4 linked regions of the Arabidopsis thaliana genome follow. The protein of the gene in region 2 interacts with the protein of the main gene of each other region in a pairwise test. Each region holds a gene or a part of one and is shown on either strand. Other genes may lie near its edges. The genes, in order: AT2G22230, RTL1, AT1G49140 and CP12-1.

Region 1 (4,919 bases), on a different chromosome or scaffold from region 2:
GAAATCCGTTTTGGTTGATTTCCTTGTTGGAGCTGGCATTAAGGTAATAGAATTAAAGCTTGTTTATCAAGTAACCTAACTTGCTTCTCTTCTGTTAGTGAAGGAACTAAGAATGGATTTTGTGGCAGCCTACTTCGATTGTGAGCTATAATCATTTGGGAAACAACGACGGGATGAACCTCTCAGCGCCACAGACTTTCCGCTCTAAGGAGATTTCAAAGAGCAATGTTGTAGACGACATGGTAGCTAGTAATGGCATCCTCTTTGAGCCTGGTGAACACCCTGACCATGTCGTTGTCATCAAGGTTTGATTTTGAATCAGAGGCCAGAGTGATCAATTCCTCCTTTCTTTTTAAGTACATTTTAAAGTCTTAAATCCTGCTATTGTTCTGAATGTTTTGCAGTATGTGCCATATGTTGCGGATAGTAAAAGAGCAATGGATGAGTACACGTCTGAGATATTCATGGGAGGGAGGAACACTATAGTGTTGCATAACACTTGTGAGGACTCTCTCTTGGCTGCACCAATTATCTTGGATCTTGTCCTTCTCGCTGAACTCAGCACCAGAATCCAATTTAAAGCTGAAGGAGAGGTTTGTATTCCGTTAGTTAGTTACCAAGAAACTCGAGATTGGTGAGTTTTTTTTTTTCATGTTTGAATCTATTCTCTTTCAGGGGAAGTTTCACTCTTTCCACCCGGTAGCTACCATACTCAGTTACCTCACAAAGGCACCTCTTGTACCGCCCGGAACACCGGTGGTTAACGCTCTGTCGAAGCAGCGGGCAATGCTGGAAAACATTCTTAGGGCATGTGTTGGGCTTGCGCCAGAGAACAACATGATCATGGAGTACAAGTGAAGGATGAGGAAGAAGAAGTAAAGGTACCTAAGATGACCTTAGGATATGAAGGACACTGCTCCATTGTTTCATTTATATATATCATTTTGTATGTATATTATATGAATGTGTGTGTGACGGATAATATGGATAAGCTTAGGGTTAACTTGTGTGATATGGATCTGGTCGGTTTATTTGGTGAGAAGATTAGCTAAGCTTTTGGATCAAATGTGTAAAAGATTTAAGTAATTATGCTTGTGTCTCCTTGTAATATAACCAAACTTATGATCTATGAATATGGATTTTCAAAATCAAAATCTCTGTATTTGTATCTTATGAATGTTCATAAATTGGAGACAGCAATAAAGACACGAAGGGCAAAAGTAGCTCATATAAATGTCGAAAACATAAAGCTGTCTTGTCTAGATTTTCGAATAACAGAAGAAGCATAAGAAGAGTCCACATGTGGGAAGTGAGACCATTAATGGGTGAGATCAAGAACTACCAGCAGAAACCATCATGAACTCGCCTTCACACACCAGAGCACCACCCACATAAGCTTTACCTTCCATTTTAGCGAGCCCGAACCGCTTCTGGAACTTGAGAAGAGTCATCCTCATGACTAGCGTGTCTCCTGCAATCACTGGTTTGCGAAATCTCACTTTATCAATACCAGCAAAGAAGAAGTTATCTTGAGAGCCTCCTACTTCCGGCTGCAGCATTACTATACCTCCGACTTGCGCCATTGCCTGCAATACACAAACTCTGACTTTTCAGTGAAATGATCTTCAAGACATTAATACTCAACCATATGGCGGTTATCTTTTTTATAGAGGATCTGTGATCCTCTATCGGGATTCAGAATCCAAAACCTCTACCAAATTAGCGAGATCATTAACCTCTTTCAAGCTTAAAGTTGCATATTTCTACTACGCAGACTCGAGTTTTCAGTATCAAAGCTGCAGATAGCTTCACACATTTTGGATCAAGTTTTTAGCAAAGTGAAGTTGAAGTCCCTCAACTATAATATACTCATCACTCTATCAGACCACAGAAGGACAATTCAATTACCAACCAGGTGAAGATCTCGCGCTAATCTATCAGGATTCAGAATCCAAACTAGCAGATCATTAACCTCTTATCATAGTTAACATCCATCTTCGATTAAAACAGTAGCGAACATTAAAGCATTTTGAAAGGAATACAACAGCTAACATATCAATTACAAAATATTTGATCTTCTTGAGGACAAAAGTTTGCAACTTTAAACGATTATTATTACCTCAATCATGAGAACACCAGGCATGATTGGTCGTTCAGGGAAATGGCCAGGGAAGAAATTGTCATTGATGGTGACATTCTTAATAGCTACAGCTGAAACACCAGGCGTATACTCTATCACTCTATCTACCAGCAGAAACGGAAACCTAAAATCCAAGAACCATAATGTCAAATTCCAGAAAGATCAAAACTTCAAACATGGGTTTCAACGAAAACTCATCAAATCACCGAAAGTTGAAGTCTTATGAATATTTTATACCTGTGAGGCAATATCTCTCTGATTTGGTTAATGTCCATTACCGTTGGAAATGCTGGGAATTCTGGGGATTAAGAGAAACAGATTGAGTAAGAGAATGACGAATGTCGGAAACATTAGAAATCGAGAGAAAAATCTTACTGAGTTCGATTGGTGTTTCCTTTTCGGTTGAGGTGCTATCGCCATTTGTTGAACAACGAAGCGTGAGAGAATTGGATCGCTTGTTGGGTGGGAGAGAAACAGAGTGAGATCTGGAGGAAGATAGATGGAGAGGTTGATGATGATGATGATGAATCAGTGAGTCAGAACTTAGGAAAAGTACCGAGTTAGAAGTAGTAGCCATTGTCGAGTAACAGTGAAGAGAGTTTAGAGAGAATGTGAGAGATGTTGTTTTTGCAGGTGAAGGAGCGGAGAGTACAAAGGTTTGTGTTAGTTGAAGCAGAGATAGTGACAAATTCATAGGTTTTGAATATATTCATACAATGGAAACAATATAACAAGTGGCCTATTAGCTCAGTTGGTTAGAGCGTCGTGCTAATAACGCGAAGGTCACAGGTTCGATCCCTGTATAGGCCATTTCTTTTTTTCTTTTTTTGGTCCTTCGTAGCCTTTTTTTGGAACAAACAAGGTTGACTGTTCCTTTTGATGAACCGAATCGAACCGCTAACCAAACTCATTTTAAAAAGTCACCGATTTTTACGATTTTAGAGTTGCATTTGTGCATAACCAAAGGCACATAGACTAGGTGCCAGTATATGAAATTTGTTCCAGTTGACTAATTTATAAAAAATAATCACATCTTTAGCTGGATCCACAAAATTAGGTCAGGGTTCATGACCTTTTTAGCATTGTTTTAGATTATCTTGACCATTAGTTGTGGTGAGAGTTGACAATTTAAAAAGTCAACTAGTTTTTAAAATTAAATACCATAACAAATGATGCTTAATATATATGCTTTAATGCTTATAGTTATTTAAACTTTATAAGTACCATAATTTTTTTTTTTTTTTTTCTCGATCTAACTCCATCTATTATTCTACGGATATAAGCTCTCCTCTAAAGAGAGCCAATCGGGAATCGTTGAACTTACATGGGAAAAACAGAATCCGTGTGCTCTTGCACATTTTGCAAGGTAATCTGCACGAATATTACTAGTTCGAGGAACGTAGTTAATATTTAAAGATACAAGTTTATCTCTAAAAATCTTGAAATCTTCTAGCTCCGATGCAAAATTAGGCCACTCCTCCGGGGTATTAACCATGGTGATAAGATCTGAGCAATCCGTCATAACTTGTACCCTCGATATCGACAATCCCACCATGCACTTCAAGGCCCAAACTAATGTGTCTAATTCCGCGTGAAGCGGTGATAAACAACGTCGTGATCCCTTCAATCCCAAGTGTAACAGTCTTTCCCCGATGTTCAATATCCACCCATGACCACTTCGAGGTTCAGATACATGCCACGACCCATCAATAAAGCACACTGGAACGTCCAAAGGTAAAATTGGGACTTGCAAACATGGCACCGTCTCCTCCACTTGCTCCTCTCTCATGTTGGCTCTCCTCCAAACTTCTTCCTCTTGGATTGCCAATCCTAAAGTGTCTTGAGGTTGGACGCAAATATTTTCAAAAATCTTTCGATTTCGCGCTTTCCAAATATACCACATGATCCACGGAAAAATCCGTAGGCTCTCCTCGCTAGCTCCAATCTCCTTTGCTCTCCAATACAAATAATCCAGATTATTGTATATAGAGGGCGACGGAAACCTAGATAGAGAGGAGGGAATACCGGACAAAGCCCAGACTTGTCTCGCTGGTGGACAATCAAATAGCAAATGGTTGATGGTTTCCTCATTAGCCCCACATCTGGGACACTTTTTATCTCTACCAATATGGCGAAAATGTAGTCGTTGACATGTTGCCAAACAACCTGACACACATTGCCACACAAAATGCTTAAGCTTTCGTGTAGTTTTTAACTTCCACGCTTGCGCCTTTAGTGCTGAAACACTAGGTCCCTGAAAAGGGTGGTCACAAGACGGGCGAGAGATAGCTCTCGCGGCTTCATATCCTGTCTTGACGGTATAATTACCTGATTTGGTCATAGTCCAACTATATCCATCTCGCGAGGCATTTAAGCTCGGTTTTATCCCTAAAATGAGGGTAATATCTTTGGGGGGGAAGAGCTCACGTAACCGATCTACTTTCCACTGTTTCGTTTCAAAATCAATCAAGGTATTTACATAGATCAGAGGTTTTCTATCCGTAGCTAGACCTTTCGGTGGTCTTGGGGAGATATCTGGGATCCATGGATCAGTCCAAATACAAGTCTCAAAACCCGACCCAATGGTCCTACGAATCCCGGCCTTGAGAACATGTTTGGCAGCAAGCATACTCCTCCAGCCATACGATGGCCGATTGGATACTGTAATCTCTAATGGGCTACTATATCTGAAGTATCTTCCCTTAAGGATTCGACTAAGGAGGGAGTCCGGGAATCTTAAGAGTCGCCATAATTGCTTCGCCAAAAGTGCGAGTTAAAG
Region 2 (5,099 bases):
TACATCTCCTCCAGACAAAGATAATCTCTAGCATTTTTCACCATCTCCATAAAAGAATTAGATAGAACACGAAGCAGCTTCGTACTCTTTATCTCTCTCTCTCTCTCTTTTTGTCTTTTCTCTGCATATTTGTTGATACCAGACAACAAAATTAAATATGTGTCTCCTTCGTCATTTGCTACCCATTTGGGTTCTTCTTGGTTTCTTCTTCTTCTCCACTGCTACTAAATCACAAGAATCTTCCGTTGTCTACGTTTCTGGTGCTTCCCCCGAAATCCCCATTTCTCAGGCTTCTCCACGAATGGGAGCTCAATCCCCAGGTACTTATTAGTTTCCCCTTTCCAAATTTTCTCCATGTTGCCCCTAAGAACAAAAATATCAATATTTGGTGATTGGGTCTTACTAGTTCTTGAAATTGTCGAAATGTGTTTGCTCATACTTTCATAAAGGAATTGAATTTAGTTGAATTGATACTGTTTCCCAATTAAAACTGAAAACTTTCCGATAATTAAGCAAATAAATTGAATTTTATCCCTTATTTAAATTTAACTTTGCTCAGGACCTCCCATTGTTAAAGTGGTGCTTCGCCAGGACTTGAACAAGAAGATTCTAATTGCTCTTATAGTCTCATCATCTCTGCTCTGTGTCACAGTCATGTTCCTTGTGTATCTCTTGCTATGGAGGTACAGGAATATGAAGAACAGCTTCACCGGTATCAAACGCAAATCCGGTATTCAATTCTATCTCTTTATATTTTTGTAATTTCCTTGGTTTTGTTATGGCTTATTTTGGTGCTTTGGTTATCTGAAGATTCGGTGAAGAGTGTAACCACGAAACCGACTGTACACAAGATTGATTCTGTGAGGAAAGGAACCATCCCTGTGTATGAATATCAATTGCTGGAATCTGCAACAAACAAGTTTAGTGATAGTAATGTGTTGAGCCGAGGTGGTCGTGGATGCCTTTACAGAGCTTGTCTCGATGAAAAATCCTCAGTCACTGTGAAGAAACTTGATGGCGGTGGGGAGACAGACATTGAAAAACAGTTTGAGGTTTGACCCCTAAGATGATTATACAGAATCGCACCATCTCATTCGATAAACCATAACTCGGTTTTTTGCTTTCTCTTGTTGATTTTCTAATGCAGACTGAAGTAGATTGGTTGGCTAAGATCAGGCATCAGAACATAGTTTCCTTATTGGGGTTTTGCGTATATCGGCAAACGAGTTGTATTGTGTATGAGTTGATGCAGAATGGATCTTTGGAGAGTCAGTTACATGGTAAGGGGATATGATCCATGTTTGTTCCATCTTTTGTCATCTGATTTTGATTTTGTTGTGCTTTTGAATGCTCTAAGGGCCTAGTCAAGGTTCAGGTTTAACTTGGCAGCTCAGGATGAAGATAGCGGTTGATATAGCGAGGTAAAGTCCATTCATTGATAATACTTTCAAACATTTAGTAGTTCCATGTGATCTCCAAGAACATATATTTGTATGCTTACAAAGTATTCTTTTTTCATAAAGAGGATTAGAGTATCTTCACGAGCATTGCCATCCTCCTGTAGTTCACAGAGATTTGAAATCATCTAGCATCCTTCTGGACTCCGATTTCAATGCAAAGGTAAAAGAGAAAATGATATAATGTAGAAAATTCTTCTTAGACTTATTGTATTCTCCATACAATATGAGTCTTAAGGATCTGTTGCCACATTTGCTTCTCTTTAGATATCCGATTTTGGGTTTGCCACGGTTTTGACCACGCAGAATAAAAACCTGATACACAAGGCTTCTGAGGATCTTCTTGATGGTAAGGAGTTAATCTTTTTTCGGGGTTCGATCTTGACATATATGCCAAACGAGATGCTCAAATTTCGACCATTCTGTAATCATCTTTCAGGGAAAGTTACAGACAAGAATGATGTCTACTCATTTGGAGTGATCCTGCTCGAACTTCTCCTCGGGAAGAAATCAGTGGAGAAACCGTCTTCTGAACCAGAATCCATCGTTACTTGGGTACATAATAAAACTTTCACGAGATAGTGGCTTCGTTTAGCAGGAAATCCTCTGACTTGTGATCTTTGTTGATCATCAGGCAGTACCTAAGCTGAGTGATAGAGCTAATCTACCAAACATATTGGATCCTGCAATCAAAGGAACCATGGATTTGAAGCATCTATATCAGGTAAAAAAGCTTCAACAAAATCTCACACAGATTTTACGAAAAACACATTAGCCAAATATAGAAGGAAAAAGATTCCTCTTTGAACTTTGTGTTATATTTTCTTTGGACAGGTAGCTGCGGTGGCGGTGTTGTGTGTACAGCCGGAGCCAAGTTACAGACCACTTATAACCGATGTCTTGCACTCACTCATCCCTCTTCTACCAGTAGAACTCGGTGGATCATTGCGGATTTTATAAAAAAACATTTCCCCTTTCTTTTTTTTTTTCTTGTAACAGATCAATGCGTTTATGAATTTGTCTCTTATGTTGGTTCTTCCGGAGAATTTATTGTTGTATGTTTAATCACTGCTACAAAAAATTCGGAAGTTTTGCTTAAATGGAACCGAGAGACAAGTTAGTAGAGTTTGGTTAGTAAAAGTTAAAGGTTTAAAAGCTTTAACATATAAATAAATAAAAACGTTGACTTTTTATAACAGAGTTTGTTGTTGTGGGGAAATGAATTAATTAATGAACCTTATCCGTTTTGTCGATGATCGATAAAATTTTCAATTTCTCGATTCCCAAAGAAAGATATCTGGGAATTAGACAAGGAGTAGTAATATGAAAGATGGAGGATCAGGAAACGAAGCGGATAACCAAAAAACCGTCAAGATCGATCATCATCAGTCTCAAAGATATTCCTCCTCTCGACCCTTCTTCTATTCCCTCTATGGTAAATATTCATTCACTCCAACCATATTCTCTTCTTTCTCGCTAACAAAAAAATTGATCATCTGGGTTTGAAACAGAGAACAATCTCTGCGTTTTCTATTTGTAGATGATTCTTCTTCTGTGATTTGGCTATATCATGGGTTAATAGTAATAAATATCTCAACTTTGCTTCTGTCAATTGTTAGAAACCAATGGCGCAAGATCATCATAATGTGGGAATGCAGAGATTCCAAGAGAAGACTGACTTCAAGTTTGAAGAAGAAGACAATGCCATTTCTTCCTTCTCTAACATTCAAATTGATCCTAACAGCACAAGAAGCATTTCACTAGAGAAGAAGCTTGCTCCTAAACCAGATGAAGAACACACCACCACCACCAAACCCATATCTAAAGGTTCATTCATTTTTTCTTCACCTCTTTTGCTAATTATGATGTAAACTTGTTCGGAAACCAACAGAGATTGCAATTTTTGGTATAGAAGATAGAATTTTGGTCATTTTGTTCTGAAATTTGTGTTCCAGATGATGAATCTAAGACTAGGAGAGGCTCAGCTAAATCGGTGTTACACGAAATGTGTGCTTCCAAGCGTTGGAGACCTCCTGTTTATGAATGCTGCAATGTTGATGGACCTTGCCATTTGAGATTGTAAGTAAACATCTTCTAACCTGCACTTGCTTTTATTTTTTGAGTCGCAATCTTTTTTGCATCAACTTGGTTTTTTGGTTCAGATTTACATACAAAGTTATGGTTGAGATTAGAGATTCTTCAGGGAAAACTGTTTTGGAGTGTTTTGGGGATCCCAGACGCAAAAAGAAAGCTGCTGCTGAGCATGCAGCAGAAGGAGCGCTTTGGTATCTTGAGCATGTGAAGACAAAGCCGCATCAGTAAATCATCATTTAGTCGATATGAAGTAGCTGGAGAGTTTAGTAAAGCCATCTATAGTTAGTTCTAACGAGGGAAGCTTGAACCATATTATACCTATCTTTTAATTCATTATAGCTCTATGGGTTGTAACAGTTTTGATCTGTATCAGAACTTTTCTTTCAAACTTTGTGCCATTATATTTCTCCTTAGTAAGGAGCCTTTATCTTTATCTTTATGTTTATGGAATAGAAGAGCTCAAGTCATCCAAGTTAGAGAAAGCTTTGGAGACTTTGTCTGGTTAGACTGAAGGAGGGAATTCAGTTCAGTGAGATTTGAAACACTGATTTTTCTCATTTGCAACTAAGATTTGAGCATTCTTTTTTTTTTTGGTTTTGTTGCATTCTCTCTTGCGCGGACAGAGACTAGAAGAAACTTACTCAAGAATTCTAAGTAATTGTAAGATCTTATTACTCTTGTAAAAAAGGAAAAAACAAGAATATCTCAAAAATATAAAAAAAGAAGAAGCCACATCCACTGCTAACAAAAGAAACAATTTTCTTTTTGCAGCATTCTCTAATTATGGAAGTGGTTATTTATTCAATACTCTTGTGGGGTTCTAAAACTAAACTGAGAAACACTTGTTTCTGAAATCACAGGGTATAGTGTTGCTGGATAGCCTCAATGTCTAGTCCCTTCTGCTTCACTACTGATTCCACGTGACCTTTCAAGGTGTGACGTTCCCTTAACCTGAAATTTACAAGACAAGAAATGTTTGTAAGCCCATTTTCTGAGGAACCTAATGGTATGGAATAATCAGTTACTTGAGCGTTGCCTTGCAACTTCAGCTCGTCTCTTGGCTTGATCAGCTATCTCTGAAAGCTCTCTGTAAGTGCTCTTGTCATTGAACATATCTGAGGTTTGAGCTGGCTGCAATCCGTGAAGTGTACGTTGCGCTTGTGCCCATTGTGCTTCTCTCTCTCCCTTTCCGTAGTCTTTCTTTGACGTGAAAGCGGTCTGAACAGAGGAACAAAGGTTAGGAAAAAGGATTATACTACTGTGTTCTTGTTCTCATCAGTATTGGCCTGAGAAGCAAACCTTGTTCTCAATGACATTATCCCATGCTCTTCCACTCAGTGAATATCTGATGATGAACTTGAGGATATCCAATGGGATGTAGAAGACTATACTATAGAGCCAGATAACTCCTGCCCATCCCCACCCAATACCTCTGATTCTTGCAAAATTCCAGTTTGCGTATACCGCAATCAAAGTAGCAATCTTGGAATGAAAACAACAACAGTGTCAGTATATACTGAAGCTTCTTATGTAAGAGTACTGAATCTT
Region 3 (6,059 bases), about 12 Mb from region 2:
AAGAAGACAAGGGCTAAGAGGGATGGAGAATAATGGGCACTGACAAAGGAGCCTGCTTAGGTAGGTATATAATAATCTTTTTCGTTGGGATCAGACAAAGACATTTTCCTTTAGAATCTAGAAGATTTTTTCACTGACACTTCTTTCTTATGTCAGTAGGGACTAGAAATGACTTTTTAGCTCAAGTTTCCTTGAGTCTTGTTCTATACATGTTTAATATTCTTGAATCTTAACATTAAGGGTTAGTGAACATACTTATATAGAGTAGATTAGTCTTAAGAAAAGGTAGTAAAATTTGAGATGAGTAAACACTTGGTGTATTATTGAAGTTTGGCCATACCCATTTTTGGTTGGGTTGTACAAGGAAAAAAGACACTGTAGTGATGATTTGGCATCATGTACCGAAGTTGATCCATATCTTTGCGATCTTATTGGTTAGACTTGGATTATGTTTTTGGGTCTTTTATGGCTTCTTTTCCTTACCCATCTCTAAGTTTTATCTTTTTGTTTGTTAGTCTTTTGTTTTCTGACTCATTTTGTCTGTGGTCCTTACCTGTCTTTGTCACCATTTAACATATGGTAATAGACTCCGTAGATGTTTGAACTACTACTTAAAGGTTAATAAAAATTTCATGAACTATTTCAGAAATGAATCCATTTAGACAACACTAAAGAAGTAAAGATGTTCCTACAGTTTTGAAATAAAGGGAAAGTATGATGTTTTTAGAGTTAACTCTTTCTTAGTTTTATCAGATAAAGTCTTAAAAACATATACTAAGTTGCAAGCATGCAAAAAGGTACTTGGGAATTTCATTATTTCGACAAACAGGGACGCAATGTACAACAAGCCAAAAATATATATAAATCATTTGAAAAACGAAGCTGAGCTTAACCAATTGGAACTCCCAAGTCCAATTAGTAATATATGTTTTACGAAACAGAAAAGCATAAATCAAGTAACAACCTTGATGTGGAGCATTAACTTGCAACAGAGACTCCATTCATGTATGGTAATCAAAGCTCTCACTCACCTGTGTCATTGGAGCAAGAAAAAACCTTTAAAATCTTTGAACCAAATACAAAAATCATCAATCCAATTTGAACTTGAGATTTTGACTATATGCCTTAACCCTATTGGAACTATTGTTTAAACCAATCAAAACCTAAATGTTGGAGCTCTATCCTTCTTCATACAGTCCACAACATCTCATATCTCAAATAATTAATTCATCAATGAAATTCTGTGACTAGGTTTAGCTCTGTTGCAGATTAAAGATGGACGCAATTGCAAGCGGATTGGTATCTATAATATCGGCCCATATGTCTCCAAAATTGAGTCACTCCAAGATCTATCAATTTCATTTCTATACATTCCAAAACATGTCCTGTTTCTAAAACCACCGAAGAAAGTCCATGACTAAGCTTTAACCTTTGTGATTGCAGTCAGATTGATATCAATAATTAACCAGTGTATCCACAACTTCCGCAAAACTAAGTCACTCTAAGACCTGATCAGTTCATACATATAACTATCCAAACATCCATATTCCAATTTTCTCCTACCACAAACAGATTCACATAACATGTCCAGTTATAAGATAGTGTCTACACAAAGCATGCTAGAAAGTCTAACCTTTCTCCTCTTCTAAGCAATACACACTATATAACTAATCAACACCAGTTACTTACCAAAGATCAATCACGCACACAACATCATTCAGCTTCTTCAACAGCTACTGGCTTAGGACCTGGTTTGACAAAATCAATACAAACAAAAAAAATTCAATACATATATCTAAAGGAAGAATCAATTTCACAAAGGTATTCATGAAGAATTTTGAGACCACTCTACATCAAATTCAAATCAAATTCAATCAAACACACTAAAGAGTAACTGAATTCAAAATTCAAAGGCTAAGGAAAAAAACACGAAACCCTAAGAATTTCAATCTAAGCATTTTCACCAGTGTGAGAGAGAACGCCGGGAAAAAAACTCACCGTGAAGAGAGATAGGACGGTGGTCTTTGCCCCAACCAACGCCGCGAGTGGCATCGAGATACTGCTGAACAAGATGACGACACTTCTGGTAATGGTTAACGCCTTCGACGCGGTAACACCATTTGACCTTCTCACGTAAGATCTTAGCCTTCTCGATATGGATCCATTTCTCACGAACAATGTGTTCTCTCATCTCCACCATCGCAACCGGATCCTTGTACGGATTCTCAGGATCGAATCCATCCGGCGCCGACTCTTCGAACTCCGGCAATCCCTTCTTCCTCCCCATCGGATTTTTGATTTCTTTTGTTTCCGTCTGATTTTCCGACAATCAGGTAATGTTTTGTTGTTATTTTGGGCTTTTAATTCAATTAATGGGCCTCACCTCGGCCCAGATAAAGCTTGCTTAGTTGAAAAAATGAACAACGGGAAAAGTAAATAAAATAAAAGGAAAGGACTCTTGTGCCCCAAGCCAGAATATAAAAGACTCTTATAAATACCTTTCTTCCTAAGCAGCTGATTAGGGGTTTTTGCCGATCTCCAATTTCTCTCTTTTAACCTAGCTCTAGTGCGTTGTTCTACTAATCATCTTCTCCATGGACAATAAATCCGCAACCAAAGCTGAAGCATCTCCTTCTGTGATTAAGGACACGACGCCTACAGACAATTTGGAGAAAGATAAGAAAGACATGACGACTGAGATGAAAATATCTGATGCGATGGAGATGTTGGAAGGATTTGGTATTCGTCTTCATAAAATGGAAGAGAAGATGGATCTGTTGATCTCATTGTTTAGGTCAAATAATGAAGTTAAAATTGGCTCTGTAAAGCCCAGGCAGAGAGCATGTCTGTGGATGGATCATCTTCTGATGAGGAACCTTATAGCCGTTTTGGTACTCCTGTCTTTGGTCCTGGTGGTGGTCGTGGTCTTTTCGTCGGTGGTCGTTTTTCCGGTGGTCGTTGTGGCGGTCAAGGCTTTTGTAGACGTTCCTGTTGAGGTTTTGGTGGCGGAAGAAGAGACCTATTTTTGCTACTCAGCTTGAGCTTTGGTGTTTTAAACTTGTGATATAATGCAACCTCTTCAATAGTTAGGTTTTTCTTATGTTCTATAGTTACGGTTTGTCTGAATGTTAAGCCTCAATTTTGAGTGCTTTTGGTGTTAAATAAACACAATGAAAACAGGTTTATTTCTTATGAATAGAGGCAAGAAAATTGTGTATTCACTTTCTTGTTTTATCTCGAGAATAGTTTTACATATATACCTGATGAATGGTTTTATCTCAGCAATTAGTGCTTTATATAATGTAAATCCCAATTACCATTAGAAAATACTTTCTATTTTTTTTATGGAGGAAACTTTCTACACTTGCAATGAAACAAGTAAACAACAAAAGCTTTTTTCTCTTTGACCAAAACTAAAATAATAAAACATGGAAAAACAGAAAAGCAAAACAGAGGAATCCAAAACCAGAGTGTTGCTCTGTTGTTTACTTTACTCAACTTGTTGCATCTTCTTCTCGAAAAATCTATTTTTGGTCTCCATTGTTGCTTCTTCTCTTTTCCTCGTTATCTCTTTCATCTCTTCTCTGAACCGTTCTTCTATCTTTTCTAACTCCTCTTTTAACCTCTCATCTTCTTCTTCTTCCTCCAAGCTTCCTGGTTTCTCTGCTTCTTGATCTTCTGTTGTTGCAGCTACGGTCGGGTTTGCCTCATCATCGGATCGTGGGCAATAATCAGAGGACAAAGAGTGGCTAATGGATTCACCAGCTTGAGAACTTGCACCGTTTTGATGATTATCCTTGGAGCTCTGGTTCTGTTGCGGATGAATTAGATGATCGACAGCTACATCGGTTTTCCAATTCGGTATCAAATTGACGAGTAACACGTCAATCAATTCCGCTATAAACTTTACGTTTTTATCCGTCAATTCAAGCTGTTCAACCATCTCACTAGATACATTAGAAGCAGTGTCACCTTCTTGAAAGAATAGAAAATGAATGTTCCTCACACGCCCTACACGCCAAAAAGAAGACAAAACTAATCAAGTTTGGTATAATATGCAATTTTCCAAACGCAATTTTTGGCTGATTGTATATGCATCTAACATTTTCGGTGAAATGTTTTGTAAAATATAAACGCAAAAGACTCTTACCATTTTCATCGACTATACGAAGAATTAATGAGACAGAGTTCTCATCATTCTCTTCACCTTTAAGGACAAAAAAGTTTCCTCGCTTTGCCCGTCTAACCTCAATACAGTTTGTTCCTGAATTGTTGCTTGAAATAACAATAGGAAGGTTATTGTCTTCGTCAAGATTCATTGACATCGTTCTATTCCGAGCATTAGGTGGTCCTTCAGACATAAGACAACGTTCACCGAATGATCCTTCTTTCGGCATTACAATGTCGGGAAGCGGTAATGGATTGTTCATAACTAAACCGTTCACATTGAGAAAAGAATCCAATAAAAGCTCCTCTGCCGATAACCTTTCGGAAGCTGGCAATAAACATTTCTCGATAAATTTCATTACCTCTGGATCTTTAACCTTTGATAGTGAAGCTGGTTTGATCCCCTAAGTAAAGAATACAAAAAAAAGACTCACCAAGTAAGTTATCCATTCATATTATCATATATTGTTCGATATCATAAAACCAATGGTAGAAACAATTTGAAAATATCGAACTTACCGATGAAACTTTCTTGTAGATTTGAGCAGAGTTTCTACACTCACAATAAGGATATTCAAAAGTCACCATTTCCAACATACACATCCCGAACGAATATATATCAGCGAGCTCGTTGTAGTTCTCATCGTAAAGCTCAGGCGCCATAAACTCCGGTGTTCCTGTTGGTTATAACATAACACTATCAATTTAGATCCTAAAAAAAACAAAGAAAAACGAATTTGTAAACTATATAAAAGAAAAAGCATTGCTCATACCAATCACACTTTTGGCATTAGCTTGTTCCATGACAGTAGCTAAACCAAGATCTCCTATTTTCACTTCTCCATGATTACCGTTGATAAAAATGTTGTCACATTTGATATCTCGGTGTATTATCGGCGGATCTTGACTATGTAGATATTTCAATCCCGTTAAAATCTGTCTCGCCCAACACTTGACAGCCTTCATATTCACCTTTCTATGTTTCTTACGGTACCTTCAAGAAAACCAAGATTTCGCTGCTTTAAACACAACTCCAAAACCGCTATTTTCGCGGCGACATAACAAGATAGTATAAAAATGAGCAAAATACATACTGCCGGAGACTTCCTGAAGTGAACAACTCGGTAATTATGTTAACCGTCTTGTTCTTGTCATCGATCCACGAGTTATAAAACCTTATGATGTTTTTATGCTTCAGAGATTTCAAAAGCCGCACTTCGGAATATAGCCTCTCTAGACAATCTGGTGATTGCAAAAGATCGTCGATCCTTACTTGATTCCACGCTACTTCAATCCCATCTACTTCGTCGAATCCCTTAAAACTGATTATTTGTTCAAGAGAGTTAAAGAAATAATGAATTTCATATCCTCTCGTAGCACAAACTATGATGTCACATAACACAGAATAACAGATTGTAAAACAAAAACAGAGATTATGTAAAGAAAAACAGAGAAAGGGATACACTGTCTTGGATGCGCCTTTGCCTATTACTTCTTTGTACTGAAAGGTTTACACATTTGAATGTGTCAAGGGAAAACAAAATGGAGAAACAGGGCATATTTGGTCGAGCCTAATATTTGGTAACAAAGAATTAAAACAATTATGGAAGAGATAAAGGTGAAGTAGTTACCCGAATATATCGACAAGTTGGGTCGATTTCAAGAACTTCTGGGTCAGGTGGTTCAACAATTGCAGAAGCATCTTCTGAACCTTCCATATCTTATTAATCTTTTTTTATCTATTCTTCAAATTTCTATAACAAAGAATGCAAAACATATATATACCCTTTAGATTCATATGAAGACGACAACACAAACTAACTCCAGCAAATGATTGATCAGCTCAAATAAATATTATTGACCGAGAATTTCTTTTTGTTAAATCTATTAAG
Region 4 (4,256 bases), on a different chromosome or scaffold from region 2:
AACGTTACATTCTGCGAATTGTGTGCGCGTCTCCTGGTCCTGGTTAGACATCGGCCAGGTCGAGCGAACAAGGAAGAACGAAACAACAAGACCACTGACTCTTCTTTTTCTTTTTTTCTTACCGCTGTGAGATTTTTCTGGAAAATCTGGAAAATACAAATTTGAGAATAGGAAACAACAATACGTAAGAGTTTTAATAAGCAAAAAAAAAAATCTTATGTGTGAGAAGACAGATACACCCCTTACTTGTTGTTGCATTTTCTTAAACCGCGTGAGAATTATAGGGGTATAATTGACTCTTTAGCGGCTGGGCCGACAAATAGATCGGCTTAATTTTTGTTGTTTTCTTACAAATTCATATATAACCTTTTTACCTTCAGATTTTAACTGGTGATACCGTGCCGATGCATTTTTCTTGTTAAAATCTACTTTTCTGAACCGCCAAAAATATATATAAGTGAACGAATTCAAATTTGCAAAATAACACAGAAGAGCATCAAACAAGCACACTCGTATCATTTACTTTAGATTAATCAATTTAATGCTAGAAGATAAACGATTTTGAATTCATTCACTTAACTTCACAAATTTTGTTATCAAACAATAAAATTGTATACATTTCAGGTGTTTTTTTTTTTGTCAAATTATTTAGTTCACTTATTCCTTAATATATTTACTGTTTCTCATCACCTTGAGGCTGGCCACAAACTGGTTCTATTCTATATGTCAAATTTGTACATCGGCCCATGCTTGATAAAGCCCATTACACTGCATCAACATAATTACATGGGCTTGTTTGTTGTTACCCATCTTGTTGAAACCAAAGATTAATTCCCATACCAGCAAGGCAGCAATTTTAAAACCGTCTAAGAAACTCTCGATCAATTCATCTTTCTCTCGGCTCAACGTCGTTTTGACACATACATCTCCACATCCACAAAAAAATAATAAGGAACGTATGCGAGTGACCTAAGATCATCTCAGCCTCATCTAAACTTAATTGAGTTTTTTATTATCAATTTCACGAAACTGCAAATGTAATCGAACCAAACACATTATGAAACATATGTTGTGTATTGTACTATTCATATTCATTTATCACATTACAATCATCAACCAAACCAAAAACACAAACATAACAACAAGGGACAAGAAGAACAAACATTGATCCATACCTAAAGTTTCATAATTCGAACATCAAAAACATATTTTTTAATTATCATAAGTACGACACTCATCAGTCTCAGGATTATCATTGCAATACTCTTCCAAAGGATCGGAGCCACCAGCTTTCTTCTTGTCCCTAGCATGACTCGCCGCCGCACTCAGCTCCTCCACCTCGTCCCAAGCCGCTACACACTCCCCGCTCACCGGATCATCAGCGCATGTCTCCTTAGCTTCTTGTATACTCTTCTCCACCTTCTCCGATATCTCTCCTTCCGATGTAGCCTTAACCACAACCATCCGCTTCATCGAACCGAATTTCCACGGGTAATTCAACCGGACCGGACCTAATACACGAGCCACAGGTCGAACGACCACTCGTGGAGTCGCGACGTTGAGGCCAGCTGCAGCTATGGTTGTCATCGTCGGAGGATTTTGATGGAGGAGAAAAGTTTTTTGATGTGAAGAGATGAAGAAGATAAAATATACTCGTTCACGTTATTAAACTCTGTGAACACAATCCTCTTATCTTCTAAGAACCAAGCATATTTTGCCACGTGTACTTAGATTTTTTCACAAAAAGTAGTATTCTACCAATTTGAGAAACATAAGTTTTTCCCCGGAATATTTATTTTATCAGCCGTTGAACATTTTTTCTTGAAAATTATAGAAGCTTTTTTTTTAATTTTTGACTGAAATAATAAAAATTTGTTATCATTTTCTCTTCTGTAATTTTCATAGACATAAACTTCTCATGAAAAGTAGCATAATAAATTAATAATTACTATATTTTTGAGTATTTCATTTTGTTGAGAAAAAGGGGGAGGACGACTGACTTATAATGGGCCATATTCCAGGAAATAAGCGCTAGTTGGGCCATAGATAAGGCCCACATAAGCAGTGACCACTACCGATATTTTTCCTGATATTTTTTGTTTTCCTGGTTAAAAATACATACAGATACAGTCGTCGTTTTGATTAGTGAACCGTCGAATAGAAAAAGAGAGAATCATTCAGAGCACTTTAAAAAGGTTAAAAAAGTCAAGTATTAAAAAAAGATGATGCGCTTTCATAAAGCTTGTCATCGTTTCTCTCTTTCACCTCTCTGCCATTTATCTCCGCCGTCTCCGTCACCGGCTTCTTCTCTCCTTCTACTTCCCAAGCTTTCCGGATTCTCGACTCTGAGTACACGACGTTGCGTAAGAGTTCGCCGATTCTCCGAAAACCCGTTGACCACTGTCATGGCTTCACGTTCTGCTTCTAGGCTTCGTTCTCTCGCATCTGCCTGTTCTGGAGGTGCTGAAGACGGTGGTGGAACCTCTAATGGCTCCCTATCAGCCTCTGCTACTGCAACTGAAGATGATGGTAACTTGGATTTGAATATTTTTGTGTATAGAGTTACTTGTCACTGGAATTGAAATCTGAGAAATCGTTTTTGATTGTTTGTTTGTGTGTTGAACTATGTAGAATTGGCTATAGGCACTGGATATCGTCTGCCTCCACCTGAGATCAGAGATATTGTAGATGCTCCACCAGTCCCGGCTTTATCATTTTCACCACATAGGGATAAGATATTGTTTCTCAAGCGGAGAGCATTGCCTCCGCTCGCAGATTTAGCTAGACCAGAGGAGAAGCTTGCTGGTGTTCGAATTGATGGATACTGCAATACCAGAAGCAGAATGTCATTCTATACTGGTTTAGGAATCCATCAGTTATTGCCTGATGGTACATTGAGTCCTGAGAAGGAGATCACTGGCATTCCAGATGGTGGTAAGATTAACTTTGTTACATGGTCCAATGACGGTAAGCATCTGGCTTTCAGCATCCGGGTCGATGAGAACGGAAATAGTAGTAAGCCAGTGGTATGGGTAGCTGATGTTGAGACTGGAGTAGCTAGACCATTGTTTAACTCGCAAGATATTTTTCTGAATGCGATTTTTGAGAGTTTTGTTTGGATTGATAATTCCACTTTGTTGGTGAGCACAATCCCTTCATCTCGTGGAGAACCACCAAAGAAACCTTTGGTGCCATCTGGTCCCAAAACTCTGTCAAACGAGACGAAGACTGTTGTCCAAGTTAGAACATTCCAAGATTTGCTTAAGGATGAGTATGATGCTGATTTATTTGACTACTACGCTTCATCACAACTAGTATTGGCTTCTTTGGATGGTACTGTGAAGGAAGTAGGGGTTCCTGCAGTGTATACATCGTTAGACCCTTCGACAGACCATAAGTACTTGTTGGTGTCATCACTTCACAGGCCATATTCCTTCATTGTACCTTGTGGTAGATTTCCAAAGAAGGTGGAAGTCTGGACAACTGATGGTAGATTTGTAAGACAGCTATGTGACTTGCCCTTGGCTGAAGATATCCCCATTGCCTCCAATAGTGTGCGGAAAGGAATGCGTTCAATAAACTGGCGAGCAGACAAGCCTTCAACCCTCTACTGGTATATATTTGAGATTCAAAGTGAATCACATGTAGTACACGTGCCAAAATGGGATTTGGAAGTAATTAATTTACAACTCTTCTGAGATATGTAGGGCAGAAACACAAGATGGAGGTGATGCCAAAATGGAAGTTTCACCGCGTGATATAGTTTATATGCAGTCTGCTGAACCATTGGCAGGAGAAGAACCAGAAGTGTTACACAAGCTCGATCTTCGTTATGGGTAACAACTAAAAACACAGCAGATATTGTAGATTACTTATGCCATCTTATCAACAAACTGACTAACTTCATCAAAGCCTTCTATGTCCTAACATTGATCCGATTTCAATTCTGCAGAGGGATTTCTTGGTGTGATGATACATTAGCTCTGGTTTATGAATCATGGTATAAAACACGACGAACAAGGACGTGGGTTATCTCTCCTGGATCTAACGATGTCAGTCCACGCATCTTGTTTGATAGATCATCGGAAGATGTGTACTCAGACCCTGGCTCAACCATGCTGAGAAGGACCGATGCTGGAACGTATGTAATAGCAAAGATAAAGAAGGAAAATGATGAAGGCACTTATGTATTACTGAACGGAAGTGGGGCTACACCACAAGGGAATGTGCCCTTCCTTGACTTGTTTGACATGTAA

Evidence for each region.
Region 1: the proteins of RTL1 (region 2) and AT2G22230 interact in a two-hybrid assay, tested with the Arabidopsis thaliana proteins (one large-scale study listed by BioGRID).
Region 3: the proteins of RTL1 (region 2) and AT1G49140 interact in a two-hybrid assay, tested with the Arabidopsis thaliana proteins (one large-scale study listed by BioGRID).
Region 4: the proteins of RTL1 (region 2) and CP12-1 interact in a two-hybrid assay, tested with the Arabidopsis thaliana proteins (one large-scale study listed by BioGRID).

What each region holds. Positions count from the first base shown.
Region 1 is NC_003071.7:9,447,840-9,452,758, reverse strand, and holds AT2G22230 (Thioesterase superfamily protein), read right to left. Parts: upstream 2,830-4,919; 5' UTR 2,718-2,829; coding exon 2,516-2,717; intron 2,439-2,515; coding exon 2,378-2,438; intron 2,265-2,377; coding exon 2,120-2,264; intron 1,587-2,119; coding exon 1,332-1,586; 3' UTR 1,136-1,331; downstream 1-1,135. Other genes in the region: MIPS2 (myo-inositol-1-phosphate synthase 2), read left to right, coding at 1-43, 129-305, 405-593, 676-858.
Region 2 is NC_003070.9:30,311,822-30,316,920, forward strand, and holds RTL1 (RNAse THREE-like protein 1), read left to right. Parts: upstream 1-2,700; 5' UTR 2,701-2,787; coding exon 2,788-2,892; intron 2,893-3,076; coding exon 3,077-3,284; intron 3,285-3,412; coding exon 3,413-3,536; coding exon of another isoform or gene 3,537-3,540; exon of another isoform or gene 3,541-3,619; coding exon 3,620-3,779; 3' UTR 3,780-4,181; downstream 4,182-5,099. Other genes in the region: AT1G80640 (Protein kinase superfamily protein), read left to right, coding at 158-320, 560-730, 811-1,052, 1,148-1,280, 1,358-1,421, 1,524-1,620, 1,725-1,806, 1,897-2,012 and 2 more; HA9 (H[+]-ATPase 9), read right to left, coding at 4,406-4,502, 4,588-4,769, 4,851-5,033.
Region 3 is NC_003070.9:18,175,983-18,182,041, forward strand, and holds AT1G49140 (NADH dehydrogenase ubiquinone 1 beta subcomplex subunit 10-B-like protein (Complex I subunit NDUFS6)), read right to left. Parts: upstream 3,283-6,059; 5' UTR 3,042-3,282; coding exon of another isoform or gene 2,595-3,041; 5' UTR 2,499-2,594; exon of another isoform or gene 2,497-2,498; intron 2,399-2,496; exon of another isoform or gene 2,315-2,398; 5' UTR 2,288-2,314; coding exon 1,999-2,287; intron 1,749-1,998; coding exon 1,714-1,748; 3' UTR 1,690-1,713; intron 1,032-1,689; 3' UTR 790-1,031; downstream 1-789. Other genes in the region: AT1G49150 (uncharacterized protein), read left to right, coding at 2,595-3,041; WNK7 (Protein kinase superfamily protein), read right to left, coding at 3,491-4,011, 4,151-4,571, 4,687-4,844, 4,941-5,161, 5,262-5,668, 5,799-5,885. UniProt on the Arabidopsis thaliana protein: Accessory subunit of the mitochondrial membrane respiratory chain NADH dehydrogenase (Complex I), that is believed not to be involved in catalysis. Complex I functions in the transfer of electrons from NADH to the respiratory chain.
Region 4 is NC_003071.7:19,444,220-19,448,475, reverse strand, and holds CP12-1 (CP12 domain-containing protein 1), read right to left. Parts: upstream 1,747-4,256; 5' UTR 1,588-1,746; coding exon 1,213-1,587; 3' UTR 834-1,212; downstream 1-833. Other genes in the region: AT2G47390 (Prolyl oligopeptidase family protein), read left to right, coding at 2,223-2,529, 2,632-3,613, 3,708-3,836, 3,953-4,252. UniProt on the Arabidopsis thaliana protein: Acts as a linker essential in the assembly of a core complex of PRK/GAPDH. Coordinates the reversible inactivation of chloroplast enzymes GAPDH and PRK during darkness in photosynthetic tissues.